Linked DNA regions of Caenorhabditis elegans. The protein of the gene in region 2 interacts with the protein of the main gene of each other region in a pairwise test. Each region holds a gene or a part of one and is shown on either strand. Other genes may lie near its edges. The genes, in order: ape-1, bicd-1 and dnc-5.

Region 1 (5,405 bases), on a different chromosome or scaffold from region 2:
TCGTAAATGTTGTGTCTATGCGCCCTCATGATGATCTGACGAACTTCTCGCACAAAATTAATAATGAAGTAGAAGAAAGAGTGAATTAAAAATTAATTCAAAACAAACGAAAGACGCTTTTGAACAAACTATTGAGGAATTTAGCAAACATAAAATAATAGAAGAAAATCTGTTTTGATTTTAATTTCTACGACAGTCACCGACAATTCGCATTAAATCGCATACCAAACTGAGGCGATTCGGACAACGATTGTGTTGATGGTTGTTGGTGTATTGAAAAGCATGAAACTAAGCTGAATGTATTTAACGGAATAGAAAAAGGATTCAACTGGTCGACGAAAAGTTACAGAATGAAAAAGTAAATGTCAAAACTTCAACACTTCAAACCTATGCAAGAGATGACTTTTATATTACTTAAATCGGTTTCCCTTTCAATTGGATCAGATGTGGTAATAAGAAAAAAGTCGTGTTGGCGAACGGAAGATAAAAAAAAACAAGTGTTTTCAAAATGATGATATCACATGTCACATTTTAGCTTTAGAACTCTTTCGGGCCACCGGAAGAGAAATGAACATTAAACACCGGAAGAGAGTAAAGAAAAATTTCGGCGAACCAAACATGTATCCCATTTTGACCGATCAAAAAAAAATGTTTTACTTAAATGAAGCGATTCTCAAAATTTCTAATCAGTTTTTTTTCAAGAATATTTTAAAGAGTATGGCATTATTTGTAGTGGCTGCCACCATAGAATAGTATCTTCTGTCATAAAATACTACAACAACAATCATTGAACAGTCACCGACAGCCTCGCGAAGATGAAAAAATACTTTACAATTGTAGAATAATAACGCTTAACACGTAATACATATCATTATGCATAATGACTTGACGACAGTCTCGATTACACTACAAGAAAAAAAATAACATCTATAACTTTATGCGACTCTACGACGACAACATAGAAAGATGATGGAATTGAAAGAGAAGAAGCCGAGAGAAGCGTACGCTCACACACGCGTTCACTCACACAATTGCGCAATTAATTTAGTTGTAATACGCGTTGCCGACGTGCGCAAGACTATGCAACGATGAGAAGGAAGTGAGTGAAAAGTGAAAAAAAAAAACAAAATTTATAATCGAAAATTAATCGACTGACCAGTTTTTTTTTGGCGATCTTTCCTTCACAGCCACAGATTTTTTTTGATAAAATAATTAAACAAAAATAAAACAGTTGTTGTCTATTATCAACAAAAAATATTCGTGTACGCTAGAGGAGGAACTTTTTTTTACTTTTTAATATTCACGAAGAGCTTTTGGCCAGTGGGTCAAGAAAATAAAAATAGAAGAGAATTAAAATGAAGAAATAAGTCGGAGAATCCAATATAGGGGAAAGCTTGAATGATAAATCGAGGTTAATCGGCAAGGCGCGTACGGCGTACGCACACGAATACTTCGTCTATCTTTCTGTGTCTCTCTTCAAAGGTCAGACTTTCTGTTACGAGAGAAGAAGAAAATGAAGATGATGAGAAAATTGTTTCAATTTCGTGGAGGGCAAAAGTAAGAAGGGGAGAACGCCAATTGGCATCTTCTTTCAATTGACCGATCCACGAAGAGCACTCACTACTATCAATGATATGTGGTGATTAGGTACCGAAAGATAAAAAAGAGAAATTTTTAAACTAAAAGTGGTCGTGAACCTATGGAAAGACTATTTATCATCAGGAATTTGAATTTTTATATTGACTAAACTATTTTATGAAAATGTTTTTGATAATCTTAAAGGAGGATTTCGAAAAATGGGGATACATTTTTAGAAAACTCTGAAAATTCCAATTTACTGAAATACCACGAAAGAAAAAAGAAAAAATTACTAAAGATCAAAAATTCCAACTTTGAAAAGTGTGAATTTACATATCTCGAAGCCACACCCAGTTTCGAACCAATCAGCGTCTTCGTCTGATTGGTAAAAAAGTGGGCGGAGCGAAATGCTGATTGATCGCAGTTTTATTTTTGGAGGAAATTAAAATAGGGAAAAAATTGAAAAAGAGCGTTTTTGAAAATTGGAATTTTTGATCTTTCTTAATTTTTTCTATTTTTCTTTTGGGAAATTTCAGTTTGTAGGCATATTCCGAGTATTCTGGAACTGAATCAAAAATTTACTGATTTTATTTCCATCAAAAATTTACTTGATTGGTATAAATTTTTCCGAATCAATCTCGATCAACTAAAAAAAGCAAGTCATTTTGATCCATCTGAAGGTATCACGCGAGACTAATAATCTCTGATGCATTCCTATCCGTTTCTGATCTTCGACAATCTTAACCAATTCAAACCAGGACCTATCTTAAAATATAATATTTTTATCATTATTTTATGGCGATTGTGATGCGTTGATGTCTGCCTACCTGACTTATGGCCCGGCAGAAAAAAAAAAACAAAACGTGACACTTCAAATCAAAATTAGATGACTTTTTTCTACGCTAAGATACGCTATTGAGGTGTTCTCTCCTTTTCTGACTATCTTTTTTTGGGAAGGTGATGATACAATTGCGTGAGATGCAAAAATTCAAAGAATTCCGTTACTCTCCCCGCAAAAAAACTACAAATTATCAGAACCTAGCCATCATCCATCAAACGGATTGTTGAGATGAAGGGAGAAACCAATTGAATTATATGAAGAATTTCCGTTATCGAGTTTTCTTTTTCAATTTTTTCTAATAAAATCTTAATAGCATTTCCGTTTCTTGAAAATTTTGTTCCGCATTTTTTCATTTCAAACAAAAAAAACTAACTCGTTGATTTGCGGAGATGAACGGAGCCGTCGAAGATTTATGAGCCATCGTAGATGCCATTGATGACGTCGGACGGTATATTGGGGCAGTTGAAACAGTTCGTACAGAATCCGACGAGTGAATCAGAGACACCTGGAATATGAAAAATGGATAATCGTCAAACATCTGCTAATCTAACAGTAGACCTTAAATATTTTTTGAAAAATTTTTATCGACACTGAAATTTTTATTTTTAGATTTTTTTTTAAACAAATTATGATTTCGTCACAGTTCACGTACTTCATGAATCACGTGAATATAAGATTTACAAAAATAGATCAATCCCTTTTTGTAACAATTTGAAAAATAATTAATCTCGATTCTCACCTGTGTGACACCGTTGTTTGCCGGGTACCCTATACCCCCTCCGCTACTGGTCGTGACCATCTCGTTGAGAACTGAGATCTGAAAATGGAGGGAAGATTAGTATAATTTTGTTTGAAAGGATTGAGAGAAAATGACAAAGAGCAAACGTGAATCGTAATACTGAACTTTTCTTTAAAAAATCCAAAATTGTCTAAAATTCAGAAATGCCACAGAAGAAGAACGAATAAAATCGAAGAACAACGAAAAATTGAATTTTTAAATTTTGGCTAAATTCCATGCTTGAATTTCCAAAATGAGAATTTCGACCGTTTTTTTTCGTGAAATTTATGACAATTTTCAATTTTTCAAAATAAAAACAAACTTCTTTTAATTTTTCACATTAACACGGTGGTTTGAAGATATTATAGAACAAAAATAATATTTCACCGCCATTAAAAATGATCAAAGAGGAATTGAACCATTGAAACAGAAAAATCAGGAGAGAGTCCAAAAACATAACAATGAAAATTATCAAGTAGCCGTGTTATTATAGTTTTCTGTATCTAATTACGAATTATTATCATTTCGTAATAATACCGTTTAATCAGTGATAAGGTGTTAATAACTTACATATGAAATTTTGCTGAAACTTCAAACTTGCTGATAAAACGCCTCACATGCTAAAAACGTAAAAAAGAACGAGCCGTAACAAAAATAACGAAGAGAAGGAGGACCTGCGATTGAATGATCAGAGGAGCGCGCGCGCAAGGGAGCGTATGCATGTGTTGGTTCGAAAGATGACGACGAGCCAAAGTAAACACGGCCTCTTAGATATTGGGGTCGTCCCTCTGTGCCTCTCTCTATTCGCTTCGTTTATTATCAACAAACTTTTCTTATTTCTCACAGTCTCGTACCACATATCTTCAAAAAGAGACTTGGCACAATGCCAAAACGGCTTTCGGTGTAGAATGAGAGATACACAGACATTGAAAAAGAGATCGGGGACATCAACCTTGAAATGGATCACCGGTTGATTAACGACCAAAAATAGGAGAAGAACACCGGTAAATGTGGGTTGCTAGTTATGGTCCGTAAAAAGTGAAGTTGCGAAAAATTATTTTTCTGATGATCAAATCGTTGACAATTGAGCGAAAATGGGGGCAGAAGTAGAAGAGTGCATGATGAATAGAGGAAGGAAGAGGTCCACTTGAAATAATTCCGAAAGTGGCCTATTCAGTCGAGAATTGGCTGCTTCGGAAGCAGAACAAGCACAAAAGAGTGGAAGGAAGAGGAGAAAACTCAATTTCGACAAATTCTTTCTCTTGTCACTAACGAAACTCGAATGGTCATCAGGAAACGAAAAGGAAAAAGTAAAAATGTTCCGGTTCTTTTAATTCAGGATTTTATTTTGAGTTTTTAAAATAGGTTCGCGGTAGAGAAAATTTTTTTTAATTGCATCGATTATATAAAATTACAAATCAAGTTTGTCCAAATGAAAAGAACATCATTGTTTTGTTCGCTACAAGGAGAAAACTAGAAGCGAATTGGAGCTTTTGCTCCCGCACATTTCAATTGTTTGAAGTGGGAACAAGAAGAGTGCACTTTCTATTGGAAATGTGCTCAATGATTGTTTTTCTTTGTCAATAACTTAAAAGTAAATTGAAAGCCGTTTAAATATTTTAAGTAAAAATTAAAATTCAGAGTTCCTTATCCAAAATAAACAAAAAAAAGGTAGAAAGAAGGAAGCTGGCTGAACCAATTTCTCATACGGACCGTTCGACCGTTCGGGCGTGTCAACGATGTGAGTACAGGAATGGAGGGACGGAAAAGGTGAGCACGGGAGTGCATTAGAGAGAAGATACGCAGAATGAAAAGGCACATGAGAGACATAGTTGATTGAAGAGACGCAGAGCATAATCGGTTCTGTTGAATACAGGCAAAAGAAAAGGATATTTGTGTGCGTTTGTTGTGAGGGCAAGAAGGTCAGAGGAGAGCGACCGTTATTCTAATGAGAGAGAGTGACTAGGAAGACAGAAGAGACGGAGAGAGGGAAATATGAAAATACGTCATTTCTGAACTGATCGCCGGAAATGATTGAAATATTGCGCTATAGGTGAGATCTTTATCACAGAAAGCGAAAGCTAGACATCCAAAAAGTAAATACCTTCGGCGCTCTTTTCTCCTGCGAAACGAGCGAGCTCATCGTTTTGCCCACAAGGGTGCGGAAAACTTTTTCTTTCGGTTTTTTCGCCGAAAAGGGAGAAAAAA
Region 2 (8,521 bases):
CATTAATTTTCTGTATTTTTGAATGAAGTCTATAAGACAAAGTTATAAATTTATAGAGATACTTTATGTATGTTTTTGAGATTTATTTTGTTACTAGATCTCAATTTTTCAATGGCATTTTAGTACTGTAGAGTGCAAGAGAAATCTAGCCTTATTCGAGAAATAAGTTTTTTACTGTTTATATTTTTTGATAAGTTTTTCAAAAATTTTGTTCGTTTAATGTACATCTTTTTTTTTAGTTCCAAGCGAAACACAATATTATTTTTCATACTGTAATACATATATTCGATTATTAATCAAAAATATTTTTTGTGTTGTTTAAAAAATTGTTTTTAAATTACAAGAAAAATTGCATGTCTGCAAAACTTTGATCGACTTCTGCAAATTTTTTAATAAGCTTCTACGAGTTTTACCCAACTGTTCTCTTGCATACGTAATTTAAATTTTTTCTCGTTTGATTTTTTTTTGTTATAATGACTAAAATGTTGTAACAAACCAATAAAAAAGAACACATAATAAAAATACCCAAAACAGAATTGGTTGGAAAAATATGCAATAGTTTGAAACATTACCCGAATTCTGAAAGGTTTTTAAAGTGAAGTAGCAAAATTTTTCAATTGATTGAAACATTAGAAAAGAGCCAAAACTTTCAAAAAATCTATACTTAGCGCTAAGACTGTCATTTTTTGTCGCAGCGTCTGGAAATGAATTGTTATAAAAGCATGATCAGTTATCACACTATTTTGTAGTATATTTTAAATTTATTGGAATACAAATGTTTCAAAATTTGAATGCCAGTAGAGTGCTTTAAACAATTCCGGAATAAAGACTCAAACTAGAAAATTAAGATGATAAATTGAAAAGTTGAAAAAAAGCCCGTTTCTAGATTTAGACTTTAGGAGAATGCGATTTTTAAAAATAATTTTCATCCGGCATAACTAAAAAATTTTCAAAATTTTCAAGAAATCACATTATGAAATTCGGCCATTTATGCTCATTTATAAACAATTGTAGTTAATTTTTGTACAATTTCTGTCGCTGAGTGCAAAAATAAGTAACCAAAGTCTTCAGAGCATTAAGGTAGTTTCGCCCAAAAATTTAAATTCTAGGTTTAAGCTTAAAACGAGAGCTATTCTTTGACAGTTATTACTCGCATGGTTAATATCAGTTCCTTGAAAATCAATCAATAACCCCAAAACCATATCATTTTATGTGACTAAACTTTCCTTCCAAAAAAAAAAGAAAAAAATGATCTGACTCATCAATTTCCGGTGATTTCCCCCGTCTTCCGTGCTCCACCCAGAACGGTTTGCGGAGGCATTAGAACAGTAGTCTCGCCCCGCATTTGTGTCGATTTTGGCTGCCGAGTGAACAAAAAAAACGAAACAGCACTCAATATTTGTGTCAGGTCAGCCACTCTTTCTTCCATTCTCTTCTATTTGTTTTTTGTTCATTTCTATTCCCTATTTCTCTCTATTCTCTTTAGTCCATTCTTCATTTCATAATTCTACTGAAACTAGTGTTACCTCTATCTCTAAACTCTCCTCTCAACCTGTACTATTTCTCTCGCGGGAGCCGAAAACGAAAACCTTATGAATATACAATTAGTTTTTCGACACCCTCTCCTAGTCGACAAAACGCAAATTTCCAAAATTGAACCTGTCGCACTAATATCTTGGAAATTTTGAAATTTACTTATTCCTGGTTTTGTTTAATTTTTGTTTTTAAAAGAAAATGTGGTCATTTGAGAACATTTTATTTAAATTTAAATTTTTAAATTTTTTCCTGTTTCAAATTGTAATTATTTCAACAATTTTTTAAAGGAATACTCAGTGAAGTATTTTTCCCCCTTTTTAAGTTATTTTCATGTTTGATATTTCCAACTCTCTAACATTTAAATTTCAGCAGCCACAATGGCTGAATCAGAATTGGAGAAGCTTCGTCAGGATATTGCAATCCTTACAGAAAAATATGAACAAGCCAAAGAAGATATTCATAAGGCAGCAAATGCGGGTTTAGAATTGCTCCGTCAAAAGGAAGATCTAGAGAAACGATTAGCAGAGATGCAGGCAGAATTGGATTTGGCAAGAACTGAAATTGATAAAACTAATCAGGTAAGTATTCGATTTCGAAAATAAAAATCGGAAAAAATATTGAAAAAAAATTAATGTTTCAAGTAAATGGTAAATATTCGAAATTTTTCGTACTATTTCATTTATTTTTAAAATATAAGCATGCAACTATCAAAAAAATTTTATTCAGACTTACGCAGGTAGGTAACAAAAATATAGGAAAATTTTTCACTTTTTTCGTTTTGTTGCAGTCATTCTTACCATTTTTTTTAAATATTTCATAAAATTTTGAACTGTAAAAATATAGAAAAATGAACAATCAACATTTTTGTCAGCTTACAATTTTTGATGAAGATGTATGAGCTGCCAAAATTGAGCTTAACAAAAGACTAGTAAAGTGTTAACAAAATTATTATTGAAGCTCAAGTTGTTCAAGTTGCTCTTATTTTCAGACTCTTGCTGAATACCGTTCCCAACATCAACGGTCCACTCGAAGTGAACTCGAAAATGAAGAATCTCTACTCGAGGAAAGTTCAGCAAAAGAAGAGGAATATCTACAGAGAATTGCAAAATTAGAAGCAGATCTTAAGAAAAAAGAACAAGAATTGGCAGAAAAGAAAGAAGAATTGGAAAGTATTGAAAAGAAACATTCGAAAGAAATCGATTCTGGAGCTGCATTAGAAGATGAAAGAAGAAAACTTAGAGCTGAATTAAAAGAAACAAAAGAAAGAGAACAAAGATTAATTTCTGAATATTCAGAGTTAGAAGAAGAAAATATTGGATTACAGAAGACTGTTGCAAATTTAAGAGGAAGTCAAGTGGAATATGAATCATTAAGAATTGATAATAATCGATTGGAAGAGACTATTGAAATTATGAAAATGGCTGCAGAGGAAGATGAAATATTAAGAGTTATTGCTGACAAACAGGTGAGACACTTTGAAAAATTACAACTCTCTCAGAAACTTTAACAAGTTTTCCTAAAAATATGTGAATAATTTCAAACATTTCCCTATTTGTTTGGAATTGCAACTGCAAAAACATTATGAAATTTTCATGTCTATTCACTATTTATTTTTGATCACGATTTGAATCGTAATAAATACAATACAATACAATACAAAATTTATTAGGTGATTGAAACAGTAAAAAAAACGAAAACTAGACAACTTTTATTTTAATTTTATAACCTGTTATTATTATTTTATAGCTCCCGTTTTTCATTGAAATTTTTGAACGGGTCGCCTCAATGTATATTTTCAAAACCTCAATTTTTGTATGAAAAACTTTCCAACTTATCATAAATATTTCAGCTCGAAGAAGCTCTGCTCACAGCTCAACAAGAACGGGATCAGCGATTGGCAATGAAAAGAGAATTAGAACAGACAAGAAATGCAGAGCATATCAGTAGTTTAAATGATATGCTTTTTGGATTGGAAAGGCTTGGGGAGGTTTGTTTTTTTTGTTAAAAAATTAAAACAATTAACTTTTAATAAAAGTTTGTTTTCCTATTTTAAAAGTTCCTGTGAAATTTTGTTAAAACACTTATATACAAAATGTCTTTTGTATACGTGAATTTTAAAAATACATTTGATAACTGATAATTTGAAACTAAACTTAACAAGTTGGGAAGAAAAAATTGCTCTTAAAGAAAAATGAGCTTCACATGTTTCGTATTCAATTTATATTGGCCAAGAGGAGTGTTGTAGGCTTGTTCTTTCGGTATCGATTTTTCTATTATTTAGTCAAATGTTATTTTAATATTTCTGTGTTCAAAAGGCGCATGAAATGGCAGAAACACTTGAATTAATTGTTGAATGAAAGTGTGGCACATGCTTTTAACGGACCACACGCTCAACACCAAACATTTTTGTATAAATCTTATGAAACAGTAATTTTTTAGGACGGCGAACTGCCACCTCCACAACCTGGAGCAAGTGACCTCTTCAGTGAATTACAAGGATCAAGTGATGTAAAAGTTCGTGAACTGGAAGCTGCAAAGGAAGGACTTCAAGAAGAATTAAAGAGCAGAGAGAAGATTTTCATCGAATTTGTAACCGGATTAGCAGACACCCTCAATATTCATAGACCAACAAGTGAGTTTAAATAGAACATTTCAGTTTGATTTGGAGTGTGATAAACCATTGAAGACATGGTGAAAAGTTATAACATTCAATTTTCACCAAATTTTTCAATGTTTCACATTCATTTCATATTGGTCAACGGTAGTATTGGAGTCTAGCGTAGATGTATGTAGTTTTTCAGAGTTTTCAGGGTTTTGGGTGAATAAAAGCTTCGCAAATTTCCTTTAAAATGAATATTTTATCATATTTACAATTAGTTATATTCAAAATTATTCAATTTTTAAAAAATTAGTTCCCCCGTGCATTCCCTAACAAAGTTTTCTTTACAGATGAGCTCGACTACATGCATGCTCGTCAACAAAAAGACGTTGTACTAGAGAAAATCCAGAACATTGCTCGTGACACTGACCGTCATGATAAAGAAGGAGAAGAAAAACGATCGGGAATTTTGAAGGCTGATTTGAGGACACTTGTATTGGTTGCTGGAGAGAAAAGTGCTCAGTTGGCAGCTGCTCAAGTTAGTTTTTGAATTAAATCATAAAAGTTTCATATTGCGAACCAAATTAAGAACATTATGAAAATGTAAATGTTGAAAATTCAGGACGCAATGATTCAAGTCTCCGATCAACTTTATCAATTCTACCATCAAATGACACAGAACCAAGGAGTTCAAACAGAAAAGAGTGTACAAGAGGTAAATTTTATTTTAATATTTATAGAAAATGAACAGAACTTTGTATATTTCAGATTGTGAAAAAGTTGCGTCTATTGGCTCGTGCCAATGCAGAAGACGTTCCACGTGTCTCGTTGGCAGATGAAGGAGTTGAAAGTGGAACAGAGACAGATGTTAATGCATCAAGATCAATTCCATTGAATTCCGATCGTCTTGTTATTGCGCCAAGTTTTGCGAAGGAAATTGAGAAAAAGTTGGCAAGTGTCAAGATTGGCGATGTGTTGTCAGAGACTGATTTGAGGCAAAGAATACTTACTGGTTTGTTTAGTTTTTGAATCGCAAAAAAGAGCTGGATACAAAACTTTTCCAAAAATGTACAAGTTTTAGAGAAGATGCTACAATTAAAAAAAACAACGAGATTTTACGAAAGACAAATAAAATTACTGTTTCAACCAACTTTTATCATAAATTGGGTTTATATTAGCTATTTGAGTCGAGGTTTCAACACTACATTGAATTTACTGTACTTACTGTATACTTAGTATACTTAGAATACTTACTGGTTTGTTTTTGAATCGAAAAATTCAAAAAAAGAGCTTTGCCAAAAGACAATTCTTCTTCAAATACTTCATTTGGTTGAAAATATTTGGAATGTCTAGCAATATTTAAATCGATTAATAGAAGCAGGAAAAATTTATTTTTTATTCGAATTAAATTTTTCAAGAATAATTATTAGTTTTAGAGAAGTTGCTGAAATAAAAAAAATTTTGGAAGATAAATAAAATTACTGTTTCAACCAACTTTTTTTTTCCATAAATTGGAATTCTATGAGCAGTATGTTTTTCAATATTGCATTGAATTTACTACTTTGTATCAAACATTCATTTAAGGTTTGATGGCGTTAAATTTAAAGAGTGATTAAGACTCTTGATATTAAACGTTACAACTTTCAATTTGCCAATATACATCTCATTCTCACATTCGAATATATTAAATACATTATTTTCAGAAGGAAATGCCATTTCCGAAACCACAGAATCGTTGAAAAAGATGATTCAAGTGGTGAAAAGAACCTCTGAACAAGCATTCAATCAAGCAGTTATGGCAAGTGGAGCTGAAAATGAAATTGAAATGCAGAATATGAAATTGCGAAGTCTTTTATCAACAAAACGAGATCAGATTTCAACGCTTCGAACTGTTTTGAAATCGAATAAGCTGACTGCTGAAAGTGCATTGACTTCAATGAGAGAAAAATATGAATCAGAAAAGAAAATGATGATGGAAATTAATGATAAAATGAGAAGAGAATTGAAACAATTGAAGGAAGATGCTGCCACGTTTGCATCTCATAGGGCAATGTTCACTGCAAGAGGAGAGGAACTCAAGTCAAAGGTATTTAGTTTTGTTTTGAAACAGTTAGGAATTTCTAATTTCGGGAAAAGTATAGCTTTTATAATATGACATACGGTAGCTCTGTTTAATTACTAATTCAAACATTTCCATTCCAGATTCCCTATTACAAAATAGATATACTTAAATTGTATCTGTAGTAGTTGAAACAGAAACTATTTTTAATATTTAAACTTTTTAGGGTTATTAACTTTTACTTTGAATTATTTTTCTCGTTGGAAAAAAAATCGTTTTCTCAAAATTTACAAATTTTTATTTGGAGTCAAGTTTCTGACCTGGCAGCTTAATGAAAATTTCTCAAGTTAGTTGCTTTCTCAACAGCTAAACGTTAACAGATATTGACTATAGTTTGACAGAAGTTGTCAAGTTTTTAAAGAAAGTTTCCCCCAAATGCCGAGTTGATAGATGCGATCATCTTCTAATTAAAACTTTCCGTAAATGAAATTACTGTTTCACAAAGGATTTATTTTGAATTGAACTTCATTTTAAGTTGATAGTCATAGGGGTATATCTAACCATTTTCTCACTTCTATTGTATCTGTAGCAGTTGAAACATACTTTTTTTTTAATTTTCATCTTCGTACAGTTTGTTTACTTTGAATTATTTTTAACATTTAAAACTCGATTTGTTTTTTACTTGAATTTAGTGTCTGAACTCTGAATTTGAAAAAAACATATGGTCAAAACGCAATATTTTATCACTTTAATCGTATCTGGAGTAGTATCTTCTGTAAATTTTAAAATCAAATTTAACAATTTTCCAGGTGGAAGAACTATCAAACGAGTTGCGTGCAAATGAAGAGGAAAAGAAGACATTAAATCAACTTCTTCGTTTAGCAATTCAACAGAAGCTCACATTGACTCAACGTTTAGAAGAGGTTGAAGTTGATCGGGATAGGCAGGTATTTAAGAGGAGTAGTACAAGAGCTCCAACTAGAGAGGTGAGATATTAAAGGTGTAGTATCGTCCAATGTGACGTCTTTAATGGAATCACTGATTAAAAACCATAAAAATTAAAACAGTCTTTTTTTTAAAAATTTTTTTAAAAATAACTTTTTTAAAGTTCTTTATGACCCATTTTCTCTAATTTGAAGAAAAATCTCAACAGACGATACTCCGCCTTTAATTATGTTCACTGTTTCAAAACATTCACAAAAAAATGTTGAAATTTCAAAAAGCAATGATTTTTTGATATACAGAACACATTGGAAGGCGGATTGTTTCTTTTGGGGAATTTTTTCGAAATTTATTTGATATGCCAAGAATAACAAAGAAAAAACGAAAAAAATTGGAAAATTTAGTTTAAAACGATAAAAAAAACCTTTTAACAAAGACACAAATCTTTCGCCAAACGTACAAAACTGCCTTTTTAATATGACAATCCAATCTTTTTAAATCTTCAATTGATTGGTATGGAAATGCAGAAAAAACTTTAATTTTGGTGAAAAGCTTGAAAAAATCTTGAAATAGTGCTCGAAAGTTGAAGTTTTGCCAAAAAACTTTACGCACTTTTAGCTACAAACGGCAATTTTCAAGCACTATGTTATGATTTTCTGGAAAAGTTTTCGACAAAATTAAACTTTTTCTTACTTTGAAAAATCCAAAAAAATTGTTTTTTTCTTCTAGAAGTTAATTTAATCTTCTCCGTTTTCAGACCTACCAGCCACCGAGAGCAGTTCGTTATCCGGGTTCAACAACAACAGCTCAACAGCCAGCACCTTCATCTTCGGGGGGCTCGAGGGGAGGGCCACGCAGGGGAGACAATCAGCAATAAGCTGGTGGTCAGGTGATGACGTGACAACGATGAGAAGACGACGAACACCTACACCAGAGGATCCAAATGATCAAGAATCAATTAATACACAAAACCACGTCATCACCACGTGGCCCTACGACCTGAAAAATGAAGAAGATCCCCAATTATTGATTGATTTAATGATGGAAGAGATGAGAGTTGAATCTGAAATTGAAAGAATGCGATTAGCACTTAAAGAACAAGAATCGATATTCGCTGATTGTCAATTTGTTATTGCTCTTTTCTCACTTCCACCAATTTTGATTTATCTGGCTGTTTCTGTTTTACTCTTCCCGCCAATGCTATAGAAATCAGCAACATTTTGAATTTCCATATTTTCTACTTTTTTTCAAATGTTTGTTAAGTCAGATTTGGCAGCCGACATTTCACGGGTTACCTCATAGAATTTCATATCCCGCGGGATGTCGGCTGCTTTTATCTTTTCTTCCAGAATCACTCGTTTCGGTGTTTTTTTGACATAATGCCT
Region 3 (5,536 bases), on a different chromosome or scaffold from region 2:
AAAAAAAGCTTTTTCAAAACGGAATAATATGTTTTAAAACGTTTTTTTAATGAAAAAAAAAAATTTTTAAACCACATTTTTCCGGAAAACCTTGAAAAGTGCATCCACTGTGAGTTTTTGTCAGTTGGAAATATTTGTAAAAAATATATCTAAAAAAAGAATATTGAAGAAATACTGGAAAAGTTGAGTAAAAATCGATTTTTCTGAATAAAAAACTTTTTTTTTCACAAAAAACAGCCTTATCAAATGGGAATAATATGCTTTAAAACAGTTTTTAATGAAAAAAACCATTTTTTCCGGTAAACTTTGAAAAGTTGATTAAAAATTAATAAATTGAGCATAAATTTTTAAAAAAAATGAGCATAAATTTTGAAAATCTCAAAAAATTGCTATTTTTTCCGAGAAAATGCATTTTTGACCGAAATTTTGGTACTTTTTTTGCAAAAAATATCAATTCTTTCGTTGAAAATAATTTATTCGAAAATTTGAATGAAAATTAAACTTTTTCACTAAAAAAAACTATATTTTTTGAATTTCGTAAATTTTTTAAAAAAATCGATTTTATTATTTTTTACTAACCAACTAATTTTTCCAACAAAAAAAATTTAATTTTCGATTTTTTCTGTAAAATTCCCAAAAATAATTGATTTTTTTTGAGAAAAATTTCAAAAATTCGGATTTTTATTCGAAAAATTAAAAAAAAAAGTTTTATTCAGAGCTTCGAATGAAATTTCTGAAATTTGTATTCCAGTTACCTCAACAAATTTTTAAAAATTTATATTTTTAATTTTTTGGCAATTTTTCAAAACTTTTTAAAACTCAAAAATATCCAAATTTTCAGTCGGAAAAAAATTGAAAATTTTATTTTTTTTTTGGAAATTTTTGAATTTTTATTCAGAATAAAGTCATAAATTCCCCCGAAATTTGAAAGTGAAAAAAATCAAAAAAAAAAAAATTAGATTTCGAATTTAAGAAATAAAAAAATTTCACTGAAAAACTATGGTTTTTGAAATAAATAAAGCACTATTTCTGAACAAGTTTTGAAAATTCAAAAAAAAATCGATTTTTACTAGCCAACTAATTTTTCCAAAAAAAAAATCTAATTTTTGATTTTTTTTTCTTTGAAATTCCCAAAAAAAAGTCAATTTTAAGTTTTATCCGGAAATTATATTTTTAATTTGTTTTTCTTCAAATTTGCAAAACTTTTTGAAACTCAAAAAATTGAAAATTGTTTTTTTTTTTGGAAACTTTTTAAAAAATTTTTATTCAGAATAAATTAAATTCTCCCGAAATTTAGTGAAAAAAAACTGTAGATTTCGAATTTAAATTAAATTTTAAAAAAATCGGTAGAATTCGAAAAAAAACAAATGTTTCCGATTTTTTCCAAAAAAAAATCTAATATTTGATTTTTTTTTTTGAAATTCCCAAAAAAGTCAATTTTAAGTTTTTGAGAAAAAATTGAAAAAAAATTTTATTCGGAAATTATATTTTTAATTTTTTTTTGGCAATTTTTCGAAACTTTTTGAAACACAAAAATAGCCAAGATTTCAGTCGGAAAAAATTGAAAAATGAAATTTTTTTTGGAAACTTTTTTAAATTTTAATTTAGAATCAATTAAATTCCCCCAAAATTTAGTGAAAAAATCACCAAAAAAACTATCAATTCCAAATTTTCAGTCGGAATTCTACCAAGTTTCACACACAAAGGCCGAATACATGGAGAGAGGACCATCGATTTGTCGTTACAATCCAGTTTTCGGAGCTCTTACTTAATTTTTTTTCTCCATTTTTTTGTATTTTTTCCCTATATATTTTCTCCAATTTTAATCCCTTCTCCACGTTTTTTTCTCTCTAATTCCCGAAATTTTTGAACACACATTTCACTTTTTTTCATCTTATTCTGGGCGATTCGTGTATGTACTTATTATTTTTATTTCCAAAAATTACCAATTTTTTAAAACCTTTTGAACGAAAAAATTCTCGAAGAAATTTGATTCCTGCGCCCCCAATTTTTTTTCTTAAATTGTGTTTTTTTGCATGACTATTGCTTTAATTTATTCCCCCGTTATATATAAATTCCCTTATTTTTGTAGTCTTTTTGGAGAAAAATTCCGCTCGATTTGAAAAAGTAGAACTCTTTTGTGATATTTTTGAATTTAAAAAAAAACTAGAAAAATTTCAGACGCTGATTTTCAGATGGATCTTCCAATTGTCTACTACGATGAGACGGAATGGGCGAAGACGCATACGGGAAATAAAGTGAATAAGAAGCATGCAATTGCTGGAACACAGAATATTTTAATTGCTGGAAAAGTGAGAATTTTTGGAAATTTTTAGAAAAAATTCAGTGTTTTCCAAGTATTTTGAAAAAAAAAAGAAATTAAAAAAATAGCGCAATATAATTTTTCTAGATTTTTGGAATAAGCTATACAAATTTTTTGGCAAATTCGGCAATTTGCCGGAATTTAAAATTTCTGGCATATTTGCCAAACCGGCAATTTGGAAAAAATTTAAATTTTCGGCAAATCGGCAAATTGGCAATTTACCAAAACTTAAAATTACCAACAGTTTGGCGAAAATTAAAATTTCTTGAAAATTCGGTAAACCGGCTGAAGATGAAAATTCCGGCAAATCAGTAATTTTCCGAAAATGAAAATTTCCGGCAAATCGGCAAGTGGGCCGGAATTGAGCATTTTAGGAATATTCGGCAAACCGGCAAATATGCCAAATATTCAAACTTCCGGCACACTGGCAATTTGCCAAAAATTAAAATTTCCGTAAATTTGCGAGAAAAAAAAATTTCCGGCAATTTTCCAAAAATTAAAATTTCCGACAGACCGGCAATTTTCCGAAAATGAAAATTTCCGGCAAACTTGACAAACCGGCAATTTGCCGGAATTTAAAAATTCCGGCAAATAGGCAATTTGACAAAAATTACAATTTTCGGCAAATCGGCAATTTTCCAAAAATGAAAGTATTCGGCAAACCGGCAATTTTCGAAAAATTGAAATTTTCCGGCAAATAAGCAATTTGTCAAAAATTGAAATTTTCGGCAAACGACAAACCGGCAATTTGTAAAAATTTAAAATTTCCGGCAAACCGGCAATTTCCCAAAAATTCTAATTTTTGGCAAATTCGGTAAACTGTCAAGTTGCCAAAATCTAAAATTTCCGGCAAATTCGGCAAACCGGCAATTTTGGTACACCGGCAATCTGCCAAAAATAAATAGCCGCCCACCCCTGATTTGAAACATCAAAAAAAGTGAAATTTTGCAGACAATAATCGAGGAAGGAGTGACAATTCGCGGTGATCTGGCGACAGTTAAAATTGGAAAATATTGTGTTCTAAAGTCTCGATGTAACATCCGTCCATGCATGAAAATATTCAGCAAAAAACCAACAATGTGCAACGTTATGATTGGTGATTATGTATTTATTGAAGAAGAATGTGTCGTCAATGCCGCTCAAATCTACGCATTTGTACATCTTGGAGCTCGTGCGGTGCTCGGAAATGGTTGTGTGATTCGAGAATGTTCGAGGGTTCTTCCGGATACTGTAGTTCCAGCGGACGCACTTTTTCCACCGTACTCAACGATCGGCGGGAATCCTGGTCAGTATGCCGTCGAAAAAGCGAAAATTTGAAATTTTCCTAATTTTTTTGAGAGCCGGAAAATCGAAAAACTGGAAAAAAAACGTTTTTAAAAGCACAAAAATTGCCTGTGATGATTGAAAAATTGGAATTTTGACGGAAAATCGAAAATTCCTAATTTTTCGAACTTTTTAAGTAGGAAAAATCGAAAAAACTGGAAAAATTGAGAAATTTCTTTCAAAAAACATTTTTAAAAAAACTGAAATTATTGAAAAATTGGAATTTTGGCGAAAAATCGAAAATTATCGATTTTTCTTATTTTTCTTATTTTTCTGAGCTCCCTAATTTTCAAAAAATGGTAGAATCGCTGTGTACTCCCCGAGGAGAAGTTTTAATTTTATTCTACAGTAAATTTTCAGTTTTTGACTCGATTTTTTTCATTTTTGGACCATTTTAGGCTTTTCAGTTTAAAAAAGGAAAATTAGAAAAAATTTAATGAAGATTCAATTTTTATTTTAAAAAAACACATTTCTTTGAAAAAAAATGGCCGGATATTATCGAAAATTTGAATTTTTTACCAAAAAATCTGAAATTTTTTTTTGGATTTTCTAGAAAATAAAACTTTCAGAAAAAAATGCAGATTTATCAGAAAGAATTTCTCAAAAATTTGAAAAAAATTTCCGAAAAATCGTACTAATCGAAAATTTAAAGTTTTTTTTTTAATTTTTAGAAAAAATTAAAATTTTCAATAATCTCCGGTAGTTTCTTAATTTTTTTTGGAAATAAATGTTCTTTAAATTTCTCGATTTTCAAAAAAAAAATTTTTTTTCCAAAATCGATCATTTTTGCTGAAAACTGATTTTTAAAATTTTGAAAAAAAAAACCTCCTCGAGGACTACACCGGCAGTTCTTCCATTCTCCAAGAAATTTTTGAGCCGCGAAAAGAAAATGAAATTTCCGGCGAATTCGGCAATTTTCCAAAAATTGCCGGAATTTTTCCAAAACAAAATCAACTCTTTTTCAGCTCAAGTGGTCGGCACTGAACCCCGTTGCACCGAGAACCTGATGATGGAGGCCATAACGATGTACTATGATAATTTCGTACCGAAACAACGAGCTATCGCATAATTTTATTGTAAATAAAACGGGATGATTTCAATAAATAATTCTTAACATTGGAGGGGCGAGCATGATCAACAATGAACAATATAAAGTGGCAACAATTTGATGGACATTTCCAAAACTTTGTTCATTAGCAGAATGTAGTTGTCGGTGGACTCCTGGAAATTTAATTTTAATTTTTTGAAAGGATTTTAATTTAAAATACTCAAAAACTAGTCCCAAATGCCAAAAAAGAAAAAAAAACGAAAAAATTCGGATTTTTTACGCCTAATTTGAATTCTCGCGCTTTTGTCTCTAAGTTCCGCCTATAAAAACCGTGCCGCACTCTGGTTTTTTCAATTTCGACACAGATTCCTGTTTTTTTTTTCTAATTTTCAATAATTGTTTAACATTGCTGACCGTATTCTTAATTGAAAATTAGAAAAAAAAACAGTGCGGCACGGTTTTATGGGCGGAGTTTAGAGACAAAAGCGCGGCGATTCAAGTAAAAAATTCAGGTAAATCGAGAAGTTTTCAATTTCTCGGAATAAACTCACATCAACACAAACTGTCACATAATACTCAAAAAATTGGAAAAAGCAAAAAACGGCACGAATGATATGCTGATTGGTGAATCTTTTGTGTAGCTCTTCGCGTATTTTACGGAAATATTGCATGCGAAGGTGGTTTTCAGTGAACTTTTTGACATCAATCATTATCCAATCGGCTTTATTTGGATCGTCGAACATTTTTCCGTACAGGTGGTCTAGATTTTGTTGGTTCTCGAGTTCAGCGAACATTTTCTGAAAAAAAAGAAACTGTATTTTATACGAAATTGTGTCATTTTT

The links.
Region 1: the proteins of bicd-1 (region 2) and ape-1 interact in a two-hybrid assay, tested with the Caenorhabditis elegans proteins (one large-scale study listed by BioGRID).
Region 3: the proteins of bicd-1 (region 2) and dnc-5 interact in a two-hybrid assay, tested with the Caenorhabditis elegans proteins (one large-scale study listed by BioGRID).

The regions. Positions count from the first base shown.
Region 1 is NC_003283.11:11,673,775-11,679,179, reverse strand, and holds the start of ape-1 (Apoptotic enhancer 1 protein), read right to left. Parts: upstream 3,243-5,405; 5' UTR 3,219-3,242; coding exon 3,159-3,218; intron 2,925-3,158; coding exon 2,793-2,924; intron 1,186-2,792; exon of another isoform or gene 981-1,185; intron 1-980. UniProt on the Caenorhabditis elegans protein: Negetively regulates apoptosis via its interaction with cep-1.
Region 2 is NC_003282.8:6,565,721-6,574,241, reverse strand, and holds the start of bicd-1 (Protein bicaudal D homolog), read left to right. Parts: upstream 1-1,905; 5' UTR 1,906-1,913; coding exon 1,914-2,114; intron 2,115-2,524; coding exon 2,525-3,001; intron 3,002-3,385; coding exon 3,386-3,523; intron 3,524-3,783; exon of another isoform or gene 3,784-3,804; intron 3,805-3,897; exon of another isoform or gene 3,898-3,918; intron 3,919-3,975; coding exon 3,976-4,168; intron 4,169-4,485; coding exon 4,486-4,673; exon of another isoform or gene 4,674-4,691; intron 4,692-4,757; coding exon 4,758-4,850; intron 4,851-4,903; coding exon 4,904-5,147; intron 5,148-5,316; exon of another isoform or gene 5,317-5,338; intron 5,339-5,838; coding exon 5,839-6,221; intron 6,222-6,324; exon of another isoform or gene 6,325-6,345; intron 6,346-6,728; exon of another isoform or gene 6,729-6,754; intron 6,755-7,003; coding exon 7,004-7,180; intron 7,181-7,420; exon of another isoform or gene 7,421-7,441; intron 7,442-7,893; coding exon 7,894-8,013; 3' UTR 8,014-8,521. UniProt on the Caenorhabditis elegans protein: Part of a complex with dlc-1 and egal-1, which is recruited to the nuclear envelope by unc-83, where in turn, it recruits dynein to the nuclear surface and regulates nuclear migration in hypodermal precursor cells.
Region 3 is NC_003279.8:2,880,100-2,885,635, reverse strand, and holds dnc-5 (Dynactin subunit 5), read left to right. Parts: upstream 1-2,181; 5' UTR 2,182-2,195; coding exon 2,196-2,312; intron 2,313-3,274; coding exon 3,275-3,608; intron 3,609-4,611; coding exon 4,612-4,715; 3' UTR 4,716-4,760; downstream 4,761-5,536. Other genes in the region: arx-1 (Actin-related protein 3), read left to right, coding at 1,677-1,772; Y71F9AL.8 (Myb_DNA-bind_3 domain-containing protein), read right to left, coding at 4,781-4,867, 5,246-5,491.